Caenorhabditis elegans: one gene and its partners. The protein of the gene in region 3 purifies or fractionates together with the protein of the main gene of each other region. This does not show direct contact. Each region holds a gene or a part of one and is shown on either strand. Other genes may lie near its edges. The genes, in order: wdr-20, wdr-48 and usp-46.

Evidence for each region.
Region 1: the proteins of usp-46 (region 3) and wdr-20 purify together in Caenorhabditis elegans (affinity purification with western blotting, with the first as the bait; one study listed by BioGRID). This does not show direct contact.
Region 2: the proteins of usp-46 (region 3) and wdr-48 purify together in Caenorhabditis elegans (affinity purification with western blotting, with the first as the bait; one study listed by BioGRID). This does not show direct contact.

The regions. Positions count from the first base shown.
Region 1 is NC_003283.11:10,129,884-10,136,161, forward strand, and holds wdr-20 (WD repeat-containing protein 20 homolog), read right to left. Parts: upstream 4,268-6,278; 5' UTR 4,245-4,267; coding exon of another isoform or gene 4,212-4,244; 5' UTR 4,178-4,211; intron 4,081-4,177; 5' UTR 4,064-4,080; coding exon 3,982-4,063; intron 3,709-3,981; coding exon 3,404-3,708; intron 3,321-3,403; coding exon 3,253-3,320; intron 3,210-3,252; coding exon 3,096-3,209; intron 2,994-3,095; coding exon 2,854-2,993; intron 2,810-2,853; coding exon 2,682-2,809; intron 2,631-2,681; coding exon 2,426-2,630; intron 2,379-2,425; coding exon 1,613-2,378; intron 1,568-1,612; coding exon 1,461-1,567; intron 1,330-1,460; coding exon 1,048-1,329; intron 1,012-1,047; coding exon of another isoform or gene 995-1,011; coding exon 885-994; 3' UTR 522-884; downstream 1-521. Other genes in the region: SUMO-activating enzyme subunit aos-1, read right to left, coding at 1-44, 93-270, 317-411; C08B6.8 (putative oligoribonuclease), read left to right, coding at 4,816-4,905, 4,958-5,186. UniProt on the Caenorhabditis elegans protein: Together with wdr-48, binds to and stimulates the activity of the deubiquitinating enzyme usp-46, leading to deubiquitination and stabilization of the glr-1 glutamate receptor.
Region 2 is NC_003281.10:4,577,180-4,582,248, reverse strand, and holds wdr-48 (WD repeat-containing protein 48 homolog), read right to left. Parts: upstream 3,368-5,069; coding exon 3,182-3,367; intron 3,129-3,181; coding exon 3,002-3,128; intron 2,951-3,001; coding exon 2,859-2,950; intron 2,812-2,858; coding exon 2,617-2,811; intron 2,571-2,616; coding exon 2,364-2,570; intron 2,317-2,363; coding exon 2,129-2,316; intron 2,085-2,128; coding exon 1,912-2,084; intron 1,867-1,911; coding exon 1,760-1,866; intron 1,710-1,759; coding exon 1,611-1,709; intron 1,558-1,610; coding exon 1,464-1,557; intron 1,410-1,463; coding exon 1,262-1,409; intron 1,211-1,261; coding exon 1,019-1,210; intron 970-1,018; coding exon 684-969; 3' UTR 563-683; downstream 1-562. Other genes in the region: F35G12.12 (26S proteasome non-ATPase regulatory subunit 5), read right to left, coding at 1-33, 116-224, 271-371, 419-454; Serine/threonine-protein kinase sel-5, read left to right, coding at 3,822-3,930, 3,978-4,034, 4,118-4,239, 4,287-4,392, 4,481-4,816, 4,882-5,034. UniProt on the Caenorhabditis elegans protein: Together with wdr-20, binds to and stimulates the activity of the deubiquitinating enzyme usp-46, leading to deubiquitination and stabilization of the glr-1 glutamate receptor.
Region 3 is NC_003281.10:9,774,901-9,779,350, reverse strand, and holds usp-46 (Ubiquitin carboxyl-terminal hydrolase 46), read right to left. Parts: upstream 2,729-4,450; 5' UTR 2,714-2,728; coding exon 2,621-2,713; intron 2,573-2,620; coding exon 2,470-2,572; intron 2,412-2,469; coding exon 2,289-2,411; intron 2,230-2,288; coding exon 1,787-2,229; intron 1,542-1,786; coding exon 1,362-1,541; intron 1,074-1,361; coding exon 735-1,073; 3' UTR 501-734; downstream 1-500. Other genes in the region: sqv-3 (Xylosylprotein 4-beta-galactosyltransferase), read left to right, coding at 175-306. UniProt on the Caenorhabditis elegans protein: Regulates the abundance of the glr-1 glutamate receptor in the ventral nerve cord by promoting its deubiquitination and preventing its degradation in the lysosome. Contributes to the regulation of embryonic polarity.

The DNA of each region.
Region 1 (6,278 bases), on a different chromosome or scaffold from region 3:
TTGCGGTTCAAATTATAAAGAAAATTGTATGATGCCGCCCATTTCTGAAAACAACGTTCATAAGATATGTATAATTCGAATTAATTACAAACCGTCATCTTTGAATTATCAACCGAAGCGTCGTAGAGAAAATTCATACCAATTTCTTCTGTATCAACAAGCCGATGATCAACTAAATGCATCTCGTCAACACCAGCGAGTGACAGAGTTTTTGCCACTTCCGCACCAAGCTGTTTTCCACCAATAATCAAAACTTTAGAGTTTCGGATTCTGAAAACGAAACAATAGTATTTTATTCGAAAAAATTTAAACTTACTTATTTTGAGCTTCCATTCCCCATAAACGAATTTGTCGATCGTAAATCGCCTGTTCAGCTTTGCTGACCTCCATATTTTCTTTTGCTTCGGACATTCTGCAAATTATGGCAATCACAAAAAATATGAAAACATTTAGCAAAAATGGTTAATATGAACGGCAAGGTGAACCGAATAAAATCGAGAAGAAGTAAAATAACGATATTTAAATAAATACACAATTCATTAGACCAGAAATTAAACAACGAGAATGAAACGGGGTGAGTTTTAGGGTGAAGAAAAACTAGGCACATGGATCCTACTGGCACAGTAATATAGAAAATTAAATCTGCGAAGTTGGAACGTTAAGTCATTAATAAAAGAAAAATGTGAGCAGGTGATCATAGTTTGCAAACAATGGCAAACAACTTTGCCGGGCTTTACAATTAGAAATAATCCAGAAAAATCATGTTACAGTATACATCCTAAAGATCAGAGCATTACGCTTGACGACAATAAATAAGATTAAGTGAACAATAAAAAAGAATAAGAACCTAGTAAAGAAAATTTAAGATACCCGAAGTGGAGTGGTTAATTTGCATTCTGCCAGGCATATGTTGGGCGATGATAAACAGAAGTACTGGCAGCTGAAACCCGGTATGACGGGGATGTGATATTCGGTGAACGAAGTTGTTGTTCGCCTAAGTAACTTGGAAAACTTTTAGAGACATTTTCTTAGATTAAATAAACTCACTATTACTGTAGGTACTTGATGATCGTGAAGGTGGAACTCCATTCAAAGCATCTGAGCCGTATCCATATGAAGAAGTCATAGCGGACGTAGATCCAGATGGTTTTTGACCTGATTCCGGACTTGCTGTTCCTGGTGAATTGATGCAATCTCGTTTTGGTTGATATCTGCCGGGGCGGCCCCATGTGCAGATATATCCCTCTTGACAAGCAGTCACAACACAATCTTCTCGGAATTCAAGAACTGTCAGACGATCATGCGATACTTTTTTGCACATTAACGGTTCTGAAAAATATTTCACAAGTGCTTTCTCGTTCATTTTGTCTTTTTTTTCGTGATAGAAAAATGATTCAAAAATTTCGCGATTTTCCGGATCTGACTAGTGAATCGTATTTTAATTTTAAGTATAAGCTTACCGATCATAGGAACATCTCGAATCCCTGGACAAAATTTAGAACCCAACATCCGCGTTTCGTTACAGCAGCTTATTTGAGAAATTAGCCCGGGGTTTTGTTTCTTGGAACTGAAAATTAACATATTATTATAAATTCTGAATAAATCGACATACCTTTCAGAATTTACTGATGCACCATTCATCAATGTGCCAATTTTGTGGCCACCAACCGGATTTGATGTAGCACTGGAGCTTCCAGAAGTAAACTTCGAAAATCCTAGACGTTTTGTAAATTTCTTCTTTTTTTGTTTTTCTGGGCGAGGAGTTGTGTGATTATTAGTTATAGACTGTGAATCAGAAGATGCATTAACACCAGCACCACCAGGAGAGACTTCCTGAAGATCTTCAAGTCTTCCAACTAGAGAATTCGTCTGTACTTCGAGGGTAGTCATTGGGGCAATTATTGTTGAATTTCGATGACGTCGAATGTTTCCTTGGTTCAACATATCTTCTGTTATATCCCACAGGCATAGAAATGTGTCGTGTCCAACACTTCCTATTCGATAACGGACACTGTTTCCAGCTGGAGCTCCGTTGATAGTGTTAAACGAAGCAAGTGAACAACGAGAGAATGTTGAAGTTGCATTCATCACTCCAGAATTCAAATCTGCACTAGTAGATGGTACTGGTCCCGAACGTATTGAGAAATCCTTTGCAACGTCGTCAAACGTAGATGTCATCGCAATACCATTATTTTCCAGATCTTCTTCGGTTGTGCATAAATAAGGATCAAACTTGACCTGACTAACCCAACTTTTGTGAGCTTGTCCTCTGCAAACTACTCGTTTCTCAGCTACACTATAAACTGTTAGAAGATCATCTTCGCCGCCAGTGGCAATCAATTTTGCATCAGGGCTCCATGAGAGCGTAAGCAATCCACCTTAAATTTCATGAATATTTGATTTTTTTCGAAGATAATGAACCAACCGAAATATGATTTCATAACTGCCAGCAATTCTTGTGCATGATAATTGAAAATCCTGAGGAACCCATCATGTGACACCGTGGCCATCATTTTCCCATCTGATCCAGAGAAACTGAACTGGTGAATTGAACCTTCTCCAATTTGCCACCTGGTAACTGGATTCCGCTGAACTTTGCCTTTCCACGTGTGAATCGCGAACTTGTCACCCTGCAAAATCAATATAAATATATGCTTCCAATTTTAGAAACAAAAAGAAACCTCTTTATGAATAGTCCACGGCGGAGGCTGTGAGCTTCCATTATTGTTGCTACTCGCAGCAGAAATTCTTTGGTCATATACATAAAGATTGCCCGACACATATGACGCCAAGAAAATGTTTGAATCGCCTGAATAAAATATTATTGAAAACGAGTTTGTTTCTATTACTTACCAGGTAGCCAGCGGATACATGTGACGGAAGTTTTTTCGATGTATCTATCTTCATTGTACAGTCTGCTGAACGGTGATGATGATGATTTTTCTAGTGGGTCGATGATTTGTAATTGACCGAGAGTGAACCCTATTAGCAGCCTGAAAAGTATTAAATAATTTTGGAAACAATAATTTTGTCAATCGGTCATTATAGTATGTAAGGAAATGTATAAAATTAGCTCCAACGTTTGATAAACTTACTGGCATGATCCATTTTTAGCCGATTCCTGGTTAAAAGCATGATAAGTCGGTGAAGTACCTTTATAAACTCTCTTGTCGATCGGTCGAGATAAATCAGTTTCAGTTTGAGTTCCTCTGAAAAACAATAAAGTTTAAAGCTATCGATGAATAATCTAACCTATACGAGAACACATAAAGTTCTTTTCCAACATTGAAGCAAATCTTGTCAGCCTGTGCCTCATCCACCTATAAGTACAAGCATTCTTCAAGGTTGGGAGTTATCTTTTTGTCTGATAAAATCTACGATGTCTTGCAGAAAAAAATCTCACCATGTCTATTCGTGCTCCATTCGGCTCATTTTTATGGTGTTCGTAAGTTGAACTAGTTGGTGCCACAGCCTCGGGAGATTCCACACTTTTCTCTGCGCCATTGAGAAAGCTTACACGAACAGTAGAGCCCGCAGCTGCTATCTGACTTGCAGCAGCCGATGCGATTCCCGGTGGCATGTGGTACTGTGGAAGGGGCCGAGGACGCGAGAATTCGGCCGATGGGACGCTCCGATAGACACCTTCTCGCGTCTCGAAGTTTTTCTTTATCTCTTCTCGTGTAGGTTGAGAATGGGAAAGAAGGACACCTGCAAAAAAGCATTTATGGAAAAGTTTACCATTTGGCATGCATTTTATAATCTAGTGGATGCATCTTCGAAACGTTTTTTAATGAGGAACACTACTTATCGGAATTTGCAAAGAAACCTCAGAGGATTGAATTCGTCGATATTTAGAGATTGTCTAGATTGTCCTTTGAACTTTTTTCAATCTCATGAGACCTTATTAATCTAAAGCAATGACAGTAATGACATAATCATAAAAATTGATCAACATACTTTTCAAGCCTTTAAAAAACTTACCTTCGGAAAGAACAGAAGATTGAAGAGCAGAATTATTAGTACCACCTAGCGAAGTTGACGGTCCAAGCATATGCTGATGCATCATCGTGTGAAACCAGTCTTCAAAAAACTTTAATACAACGATGACAAAATGATTTTCACAGGGGAACATTGCGAAATTTTAAAACCTTCATTTAAGTATGACTTTAATACAAACCTTAGCTTTGAGAATATTCGCGACATTCCGCATTTCAAGCCCGTCTGCTCATCCTTAAATTTGTCAATAAAGCAGAATTGTCAAATATCTGGAAAACTCGTTTTCAGAACAGATGACGGCTTTTGAGTTTGGGGTTTTAAGAGAAAAGAGAAACAATTCCAGAGGGGCAAAACACAGATTAAAAATGTTTCCAGGAAAAAAACAAGTTTTCAGAAAACGGGAATCAGAAGATAGAAGGAAGACACTGTTAAAGTTTGATATTTCATACCGTTGAATGCGTCGCGGCTCTAAACGCTACGCATGTCTGACGGAGCGCACTTGCACTTAATTTCTTTGTGTTGAATTTTTATCCGTTTTTCTTGAAAGTTTTTCTGGATGTAAAATGTTTTTTTGAGAAAAATTAACAATTCATAGTGAATTAATTTATATTTATTAAATGTTAAACTCTAAATTTCGATACCTACATGTTATCTGTTCTTTTTTACGCATTTGGAAACGCGGGTATTTAATATATTATGAAAAACAGTCTACGTATTGCCTAATATGATTATTTTTCCTCATCTTCATCCGCAATGTTTTCAGAGTGCATGCTAGGAGCTCTTTTAAAGTCAATCAATATACCTATCAGCCGACGCGCAATGTCTACACTCTACCATACCTGTGACAAAATCGAGCAACGAATCATTTGGATCGACTGTGAAATGACAGGCCTGGACGTTGAAAAGCAGGTTAGTTTTTTGTATTTTTTAAGAACTTTGTTAATCGATAAAACTTTTTCAGACACTCTGTGAGATTGCTTTGATCGTGACAGACTCAGAATTGAATACAATTGCGACTGGGCCAGATATTGTTATTCATCAGCCAAAAGAAGTTCTTGACAACATGGAAGAATGGCCAAGAAATACGTTTCATGAAAATGGTTTAATGGAAAAAATAATTGCAAGCAAGTACTCAATGGCTGATGCTGAAAACGAAGTGATCGATTTTCTCAAATTGCACGCTCTTCCCGGTAAGACAACTATTTTTCAAAAATAGAGTAGCCAATGGAATTTATTCAAAACGATAATAAACATTTATTTAGAAACTTACCCTCGAAGTTTATAAGATATAGAATTTTAAATAATAAGAAAGTTATGTAGGAGCTGAGCGTCCTTATTTTCTTTATAAATATCGGCAAATCTGCATTTTCCTCTCTTAAATCGCGTGTGTGCCACGGGTAGGTGTTTTTGAAAAAACTTTGGACATCCGATGTCGCGCAAACCTTCGTTTTTTTTTTCATTTTTGATGTGTCCAAGTTGGCAACGCTTATAGCTCAGCGCTGGATGGATGAAAATTCGAGCTCTTTTTTTTCATCTCTTCAAAAAGGCTTTTCCTACTTTTTGTTTTTTACCGTTTCTCGATCTGAGCTCATTGAGCCGAGATATTTTGAGTCAAACTCAAAAATCGCTATTTTTCCTCATTTTCCGGTGGTTTTAATTGAAGGAAAATTCGAATATTTGAGATTATTTCACGATTTTTTAGGGGTGTATACAACTCGACCAGCTCTTTCCAACGTGTATTTTGAAAAAATTCTACGACTCTTTTAAGCTATAGAAGTGGGCTCTTTAGTGTGAAATCGAAAATTACATTTTTATTGGTGTGCAAATTAGCGATTTTTGATGGTTTTTCGGCCATAAGTCGGTCAGTTTGGCACTTTTTGGGGTAAATTTTTCGAAAAACGTATTTTTCAGGAAATTGTCTCTTCAAAAATATAATTTTTTTTACAAAAAAGTCAAAAATAACTTCAGAAATCGCAAATTTCATGATTTTCTCTAAAAAATGACGTTTTTGCTGGAAAAATAAAAAATTTTCCACTACCGAATGGGATTTTATGTTAAATTCGTAATTAGTACATAAATGCCGAATGGATGCTGAAAGCACAGCTCTCTACGACCATTTTCCACGATTTTAGTTTATTTAATTTTTGACCTCGAAATTTCAATTTCCCTCTTTTCCTGGACCAGTTTTTCACTGAAATGTGAATGTTATGTCCTAAATCTTATTATTTTTGCTATGAGAAGCGAGACAAACAAAAAGTTTTTGGCCATGAGTTCCTCGAGCC
Region 2 (5,069 bases), 5.2 Mb from region 3:
ATGTGCAGATGGAATGAATTCGAGAAGAATTATCTGTAAAAGATTGAGATATTACAATTTTTATTAGAATTTTTTTTTATTAGATTAGAATAGTCTAAAAATTGATGTCAGGTACCTGATGATCGACAAGAAGATCTTTGGTTGAAATATCTCCAATAATCAATTTTACAAGCTTGCTGGTGCTGAAGTCATCAAAATCAGCAGCGGCCACGTCATCTTCTGTTCTGAAATAATTTCATTTTGATACTATCTGATATTCATTTAACGTACTCCATTTGCTGAGCCGCTTCAATTTGCATCTTTGCAAGTTTTTCCAGAATCTCCCATCCCTTTTTCGAACTGCGTTCTGCGATGTAATCGTTTCTCCACTCCTGAAAAAAATTGGCTTAAAATTGGAAGAAATTTCAATAAAACCTACTTCGATCAGTTTTTCATGTTCTTCCAAACTAGCCATCTGGAACGAATACGGTAGGAGGTAAAAATATTAAGCAAGAAATGAAGATAAGCTGGTAGTTAAACCATCATAATTTTAAAAAAGAAAGAAAGACATATGGAAAGAGCATGGAATTTAATTGAAAGTCGGTTTTACCCGTATCAAAAAAGAAGTTAGACAGTGAATTTTCAATAAAGTACAAATGTTAGATAAGTATGTTCAAATAAATAACTTAAATTAAATGTTAAAGCTATTTAACTGGTTTATAATGTAGAAGAAGCTCTCCACTTTGCTTCCAATAGAGATGCTTGACTGTTCGCAAATCCATATCCGGCTCCAACCTCTGATCATTGCAGTACATTTCCATTTTTGTATGAATTTGATTTAGTGGAATCGAGCCAACTGTAATATCTTCAAACACCATTAATATCTTCTTATTTCTAAATACCTTACCATCATTAGTGCTGAGTATTTTTTCGTAAACATGCTCCATCACTTTCTTAACTTGAAGCATTTCAGTTGCTGACAGACGATCTCTGAAAATAGTTCAAAATTTTAATGAATGAACCCCGCGTTTTCACAAACTTTTTAGGCTGTTTGGGATTTGTCGACGGATGTGGAAGAAGATAAAATGGCATTTTATTGAATTTCGGCAGCTGATTTCGTTCGATTGCGTCTATAACCCACATGGGTGCAATTTGTGCCAGCTCATTTGCTTCGAACTCCTTCCCAGCGTCGCCAACAAGAAGACGGTAGAGCGGACGACCATTTCCTTCGCTGAAATTAGTTTTTTTAATGTTTAAAATTTGAGCCTTCAAATAATTTTACCAAATAATAAGCGGTGTGTGTTCCGGTAGAGAAATAAAATTCAGTGTTGCTTTTTGCACATCATCTGCATCAGCTGCATCAACATTTGTCATTTTACAAGGTGGCCATCGTTCGAAGAGTGATCGTAGCATCATTCCACCGTAATTCACTATAATTTCTTACAAAGGAATGAGAAAGTTTTTATTTTCGTATAATATCTTACGTTTTGTCTCTCGATCATTATCATCAAAACCTGCGTCTTTTGATGAAAGCCACGAGGAGAGAGCGTCCAGCTCGTCCAAAGTGATTTGGAGCATCTGAAATCGAATAGGGTTTTATTTTTCAAAAATTTATAAAACTTAAAACTCACTCCACTTTTTGAATCAACGACAAACCAGCTTGGAATGTATACTTGCCTAGAGTTCTCATCGACAACTTCTTCAAATATTCGCTTTCCATAATCTTTTATCTGAAATTTTATCAAAATTCAAGTAGTAACTTTTAATAATGGGGACAAACCTTTCTTGCTGCTAAAACATCATATAGCGCCACATTTCCATCCGAGTCTCGTGTCAAAACGTGTCGTTTGTCGCTCAACATGGCATGTTTCTTGATGGCAGGAGCGCCTGAATAAACAGATTAAAAATTATATCTGCATATAGTCTGTTTACCAGGAATAACGAGCTCTGGTGTGCTCTGTTGTCCTTTTTGATCCTTCACTCGGATATACTTGAATGTTACTGGAGGTGATGATGAAGCTGATACTGAGTGATTTGCATTTGAAGTTGAAGGACCATCTTCGTCTCCTCCAATCGAAAGTTGGGCTGATGGGCGGATGGACCAGCTGAAAACTGAAAGTTTATTTTTTTAATAAAATAATTCTTTTACCGCTTGATATCAGACTTCCAGGTTCCGACCCAAAGAGATACTGGATTATCTTTTTCACTTAAAAGTAACTTTTTCACAGGGGCTTCTTCTTTGAACAGAAGCTGACTTTTAGTGAAATCATATAACGGAGTTTTCACAACCATTTTGTCCTTTCCTGCGCTGTAAACCGTTGTAAACGATGAGTCAACCTAAAAATCATAGATTCTAATAAGATTTTATCAGAGAGGATCAGTACTTGAAGAGTCCAAACTCCTTCTTCATGAGCAATACACGTGGCAATGCATCTCTGTTGTCCAATGTCCCACAGTCGAATTGTGGCATCTGATCCAGCAGAAAGTGCGCGTGTTCCATCATCATTGACCACCAGCGCACGTACATTATCTGTGTGACCACGTAATTTCATTATTTTCTCATTGGTTCTTGGATCGAAAAGGCGAATGCACTGAAAATAAAAACTAGTAGAAGGCTAGAATGCTAAAATTCCTCACCTTTTCCGTTCCAGCACCAAGAACAAGCGATAAATTAGGAGTTGTGGCGAGTGAGTAGATGCTGTCCTTGCAGCCAATTAGATTATTTACAGTTTTGAAGTTAGCATTGATATCGTACACGAAAATATTGTGATCGAAACTTGCGCTCACAGCTTTCTCTACAATCGGTGCGTAGGCCAAGCAACTAACGTAGTCCTGAATTTTATTCATTCTTAATAATTAAAGAGAAAAGTTTCACAAACCTTGTGAGTTCGGATACAATCGATAAATCCGTGCTTGTTGTCCCGTTCGATATTCCAAACTTTGACAGTTGTGTCATTTGAGGCCGAAATTACTGAAAGAAATATATTTATATAATTTGCAGAAATATCGCAAAACCACTCACGAATTTTTCCATGTCCACAAAGAATCATATCGTTCACCCAATCGGTATGCTGTTCTAATGATCCTTGATACTGAACTGGAGAATTCTTTCCTGGCGAACGAACTCCGCCACGTGCCGAGAAAGCGTCCTGATCATGAATTTATTCGGTATTTTTTAGAATTCATAGTTTATATATCAAACCTTGTGGTGTGGCACTGACCATGTTCTGATTATAGTGTCACTGCCGCCAGTGAACAGTCTTCCGTTTTGTGCATCATATTGCAGAGCACTGACAGCCGAACGATTTGAATACTCGTGCTCATCGCGAATGATAAATGAGATTTTCTTTTTTGGACCAGTTTGACTGGTATTTACACAGCTACTCATTTTATTGCATTGAACGCCTTTTGAGATCTGGAAAATAGTGATGACAAATATTTCTAGTTAAAAGATTCATCGATTTGCGAGAAAAAAGTTATTTTTAATGCAAAAAATTAATTAACGGTATCTTATATAGAATGTTATGATGGTTTTCAGAAAAAAAAATGAAGAAAAACAAAAGTATACGGCAAATTATAGACTTTTGTCAATAAAAACAACAAAACATGTTTTAAAAGAGCTCTGTGCGAAAAAGACAACAAAAACTGCGCCGCATGTTTGCAATTCAGCCACGCCCATTATTGCGCCCCGCCTCCCTGCGTTCCGACACTCTTTTCTCCTGTCGATCAATTTGTTCGCTCGAGAAAATCTAGTTTTGATGAAAATTTTTCGTTTTTCGATATCACTCTCATCAAATATTGAAACTCTTTTATTAAAATTTACTAATTTCAGGCGAAAAGCCATGCCTCTAGGGCTTTTCAGCTCTGGAAAAGCACAAGTTCTGTGTGATGAAAAAATTCCTGGAGGCAAGAAAAAGGAACCGAAACAATTAAGTGAGAATAAATGCAAAGGTATTTGAACATTTAACAGTTTCTTTCATTTTTAATTGAATTTTCAGGTGTCACATTGAAGTTAGACCATACACGAGTCACTATAGAGAAGCAAATCGCCGAAGGTAGGTTTTTTAAATTTAATCCTCTTATTAAACTCCATAATTGTTCTTGTTTTTCTGAATATTTCGCAATATTTTTCTTCCAGGTGGATTTGCAATCGTCTACGTTGCGAGCGATAGAAAAAACAATAAATTCGCCTTGAAACGTCAATTCACCAAAGACAATGAGAAACAGCTGGAGGCATGTTGCAGAGAGCACAGTTTTCTGGTGAGAAGAAGCTCGAATAAACTTGCAAATGTTGTATGATCTTTCAGAAACAATGTATTGGTCATAAAAATATTGTGGAATTCGTTGACAGTTATACAAATTGCCTTGGAAATGGTATTTGGGAATGCATGCTGTTGACAGAATATCATCAAAGTGAGTGAGATAACACCGGAAAATAAATCATAATTAAAATATTAAATAAAACATGGAAAACTTTGAAAAATCATCATATTTTTTCCAGAAAACGTCTTGCAATTGATGAACGAAAGAATATCTCAAAACCAATATTTAACAAACGACGAGATTCTCTCAATTTTCACGGATCTCTGTGAAGCCGTATCCTTCATTCATAATCGGCCACAACCTATCATTCATCGCGATTTAAAAGTTGAAAATGTACTCATTTCTTCCCATAAACCACCACATTACGTTCTCTGCGATTTTGGAAGTGCTACCACTCAAATTTTATCTGTGGAAAAGTATGGAGTAGAATATGTGAAGTCAGAAGTGGAAAGGAATACGACTATGTGTTATCGATCGCCTGAAATGATTGATTTTTACAGTGGATTAGAGATTGGTTCGTTTTTAGTATTAAAAAATTGAAGGAATGCAATGAAAAAGTCGAATTCTTTATTTTTTCAGGCCTAAAATCTGATATCTGGGCACTGGGCGTTCTTCTATACAGGCTATGCTTTTTCTGTGTTCCTTTCGAAGAATCACCGTTAGCAATTCAATCTGTCAATTATCAATTTCCATCCGTTCCAAATATTCCCGACGAGATCAAAGTTTTGATTTGTAAGAAAATGATATTTAAATACGAACAAAAATAC
Region 3 (4,450 bases):
ATTTTTCCTGAATTATTCAAAAAAAAAAACCTTGAGAAAAATTTTAACTTACTGTAGCTGAGATCGCGGCGAGACCCACTAATCAAAACACAGTGTGTGCCTTTAAAATTACGGTCTCGTGGCAAGACCCATCTGAATAAATAAATATTTAATTTCCTATTAGAAAAATTCCAGGTATCCGGTCTCCACGACGTCCGCTACCTCATCGATAGTCGCCAACTCCTCGACTTTTCTGGAACTTCAGTTACCATTATCAATGTCGCCTTACACTGCGATCTGAATTGGACACCTTATTGCAAATCATAGTCCATAATATTATATCATTTATTTATTGTTATCCTCATTCCAGTTTTGCAATTTTCATTTTTTCCAGTCTTTCCCCCCAGTTATTCAGTGCCTTTTCTTACTTTTTTGTACGCGGGTCTCCCCCTCATTCGGGTTCTCATTTGTGATTTTTCAAAAAGATTTAATCGGTTTAATTTAATTTTCCAAGTGCCTTTCAAATTCTAGAATAATTTATCCATAAAATATACAAATGATTACAAGTTTTAAAAAAAAGAAAAATTTACATAACAGCAAAGTGGAGAGATAGTGTGATAGAAAATTGTATGAAACTATAGTACTATGGTCAACAAATTGTAACAGCGACAATTGATGAAAAATCGGAAGGTAAGCTTTTACTCGTTTCAGAAGAGTCTCGGGATGAAATTATTAAACAATTTATAAATTATTCACTAGACGGAGTGTGTACTATTTTTTCCTTTATGATTATGATTTGGATCATCAGCAGCGTAGTCTCTTGCCTGATAGAACAGAATATAGGCAGATTCGGAATTCTTTTGAGGAGCTGATTGATTTCCAGGTGGCATTTGAATATTTGCATCCGTGGACATTCCAGAGAACTCTTCCATTGATGAAACTTCCAGTTTTTCAACAATATCATCATCAAATACCAGCCAAAACGAATTGCTCTTCACCAAAGTGATATAATGACCTCGATTTGGAGTAGCTCCACAATGAACCACTGTTGCGACCAGGTCATACATCCGATCACCGTATTCAGCATCATCGCTCTGAAAATTTGATCATTATTATGCTGCGGAGGAAAGACGTGGTCTCGACACGGCAATTTTTGTTGAATGCAGAAATTAAACAGGGGATACTGTAGTTTTGAAATTTCGTTGCTGCGGAGTTTTTATAATTTTTACTTAGTTTTTTCTTTCTTTAAATTTGTCGGAAATCAGTAAAAAATACGCAAAATTTTAAATGACAGTACTCTTTAAAGGGGCGGACGCCTTTTTGCATTTAAAATTGTCGAGTCGAGACCGGGAACCGTATTTTTCAGTCAAATATTTACGAACCACATTGAATAGCCGCAATTCCAGTGGAAATACAACTCGATAAGAAAGCTTTGTGTGTCGATTCAGAGGTTCGACGAATTTAAATCGTTTCAGATGGAGAGCCAGCAGTTGAGGAGGTTTCTTGATTCGCATTCGCTTTTGAGCTTCCTGTTTCGACGAGCACGTTTCGCAGAAATATTTCTGAAATAAAAGAGAATTAAATTTAAGAGAAACTATTTGTGATTTTTAAATATATGATAAAACAAGTTCGATCAAATTATCAAAAATTTTCGCAATTTTTGATAGTTTTTCTTGTTTTCGAATTTGAGATAAAGCAATTATTTTTGCAATGTTTTGTCACTGAATTTCAATGAAAAATATTGAGAGACTATGCCAAATTGGCTCATTTTGTTAAAAATTTCTTCCAAAAAGATCAAATTAAATACCTGATCACCACAAAGTGTCTCCGTTTCACTAAATACCCGTAGACAATGGCTAATTGAAGTATTCTGTTCCACATCAATCGATAAATCCAGAAAATCTTCATCTTTACTTGACACAGTTTCACAACTCAAACACCTCGTCTCATTTGTCAAAATTCCTTGAAATATTTCATGAATCCACGTAGTAGTGTCAGATTTATTCAAAAACTCGTTGCCTTCCACCGTAATTCCACCATTTCGTTCACTCGTTCCTTTTTCATCTGATCGTGGAAGACCCGCAGTGGCAGGTGCCAAATTAACTGTGACATTTCCTTTTTTGAGTGTTCCGTGGCGAGACGCTTTCTCTCGTTCTGCGATTTTCTCTTGAATTAGTGTCTCCGATATTGTATTAATGAGATAATTGAAAAATTCGTGAGCGTCTTGTTGCATGTAGTTGTCGAAGAGCTCTATAAAATTAAACTAATAGTCTGATTATTGGAAAAATAATTTTTAAAAAAAACCTCACCATTTTCTTTCTTTAATTTAGTAATAAATCGTTTTGGAGCAATTGTTCCTACTCTTCGTTTTTGACTGGCAATACTATGAAATAGATCAGCTAGACACGTAACCAAGTTGTCCTTTGAAGCGCCTGACAAAATTAAATTTTACTTTAATGATTTTTCTAAATAGAATTTTTAAATACTAACCCGATTTCTTCAAAGTTTGCTTGTAATTGAGAACTTTTTCTCGAAACGGCCGGCAGAAGAACAACGCCTGAATCACTGAGTTGCAGTAACATGTATTTCCAAACTGAATAAAAAAGAATTAAACTCGATAAACTCGATAAATTCCACTGACATTTACTAGCCCGTAATAGTGTTCATTGGCATTATTAACTGACTCAGTGGTACTGATCTCCTTTTCCAGTTGTGATGATCCAGTAGCTCCCATTGAGTGTGCCAACAGCTACAAGAAAAAAACAGATTTTCAGAATAACGGTTACTAGCGGAACAACGTGAAATAGAACGATAAAGAGGGGGCAAAGAAGGGGAGACAGAGAGTGTGGGCAATAGCGATGAGAGAGAACACAGCCATCTCTCTTTTTTTCTTTCGCCGTCTCTCCGTCTCTCAGATTTGCTGTTCTACAAGTATTCCCATACGTTTGCAGTGTGTTTCGCTAAATTTTGCAGCCTTAAAAACCTTAAAATATTTAAAATAAGTATTAGAAGAAGAACTACCCGAACAAGACCAATCAAGAGAGATGGAAAGTACAAAAATAAAATAAAATTGTGATTTTAAAAATGTTCATTAGTTATTTTACTGATTTGAAACCTTGAAATAGCTTTTAACTTCTAAATAAACAAATAATCGATAAAAAATGAATTGAAAAATCGTTAAAATAAATTAAATATGAGTGTACGCTAGAGCGCATTAGCACCTTCTCGATAAAAGTTCAAATTGCCGCCACGGAAGAGACACTATCGAATGAATAACTTTGAAAATGGCGAAACGTGGAGTGGCATGACGTTCTATCTGCAGGCATCTGGTTATCTGATCTGAAACAGAAATTAAAATTGTTCAAAATTCGATTTTGAACTCAAAAAATCAACTAGATTCCAAACCACGCCTTTTCATTCGATGCACAAGTTGAAACGTGGTATCGGGCTGTCCCATTACGGTTTGATCTACAAAAAATGCGGCGATTTTTTTGCTCAAAAGATGTGACGTCAGACGTTCTTAACCATGCAAAATCAGTCGAGAACTTTGCGTCTAAATTCCCGCTTTTTTTGTAGATCTAAGTAGATCAAACCACTATGGGACATTCTGACACCACGTGCTACTGGAGATGCAGCACTAACAGAGAATATACAGAACATACACCTGTTCTGATATGATGTACAATACCTACTCAGAACACTAACAAATTAATATAATTTTAACTTTCAGGACATCTCTACTGAGTGCAGGAAAGGAACAGAAGCTCGGGCTCTGTTTCGCTTCCCGATCACCTATAACTTCGTGAATCGCACAGGAGGATGCAGCCCATACACAAGTTCGACATCCACCAGCATTCCGTACGTCTTGTGCAATTTGAAGATCGGCCAAACATTCTTGGATTGCATGCAGTCGAAACAACAAAAATGACGGAAGCATCATCCTGCAGTCAGTCACAGTGGAAAGCAGAACCGTCGCCTAGACTTCACCGAATACAACTCGGAGTATCTATGGATTCGAGTGTATAAGCACGATGATCAACCGATGGAAATGTCTACCACCAATCCGATGGACTTCGTGGGCCACAACTTTCTGCTCGTTGGGTTCACGCAGACTGTGGAGACCCCAACCTCGTTTCAATCATTTGCTTGGATAAGAGAGGAAGGTGGATGGACACGAGTCGCCGATGAAGTGGAGTTCTACGAGAACAAGGTGAATTTGGATACGATCAGGACTGATGAACTTTTCCTATTCAAGAAGATCTGATAACTCGCTGTGTTTTTAGTGTTCTAATAAAAAGTATTTTAAAAAAATGTCTTCTCTTGTTTCCTATTCGCTCGTTTTTCTCTATCGAATTCCATAAATTTAATTTTTGTTGAAAAATTAATTGTTAATAAATCTATTTCATTTAAGCATCAAAACTTTGGTAATTTGCCAAAACTGCCAAAAAGTCTGAAAAGTTTGACGAATCTA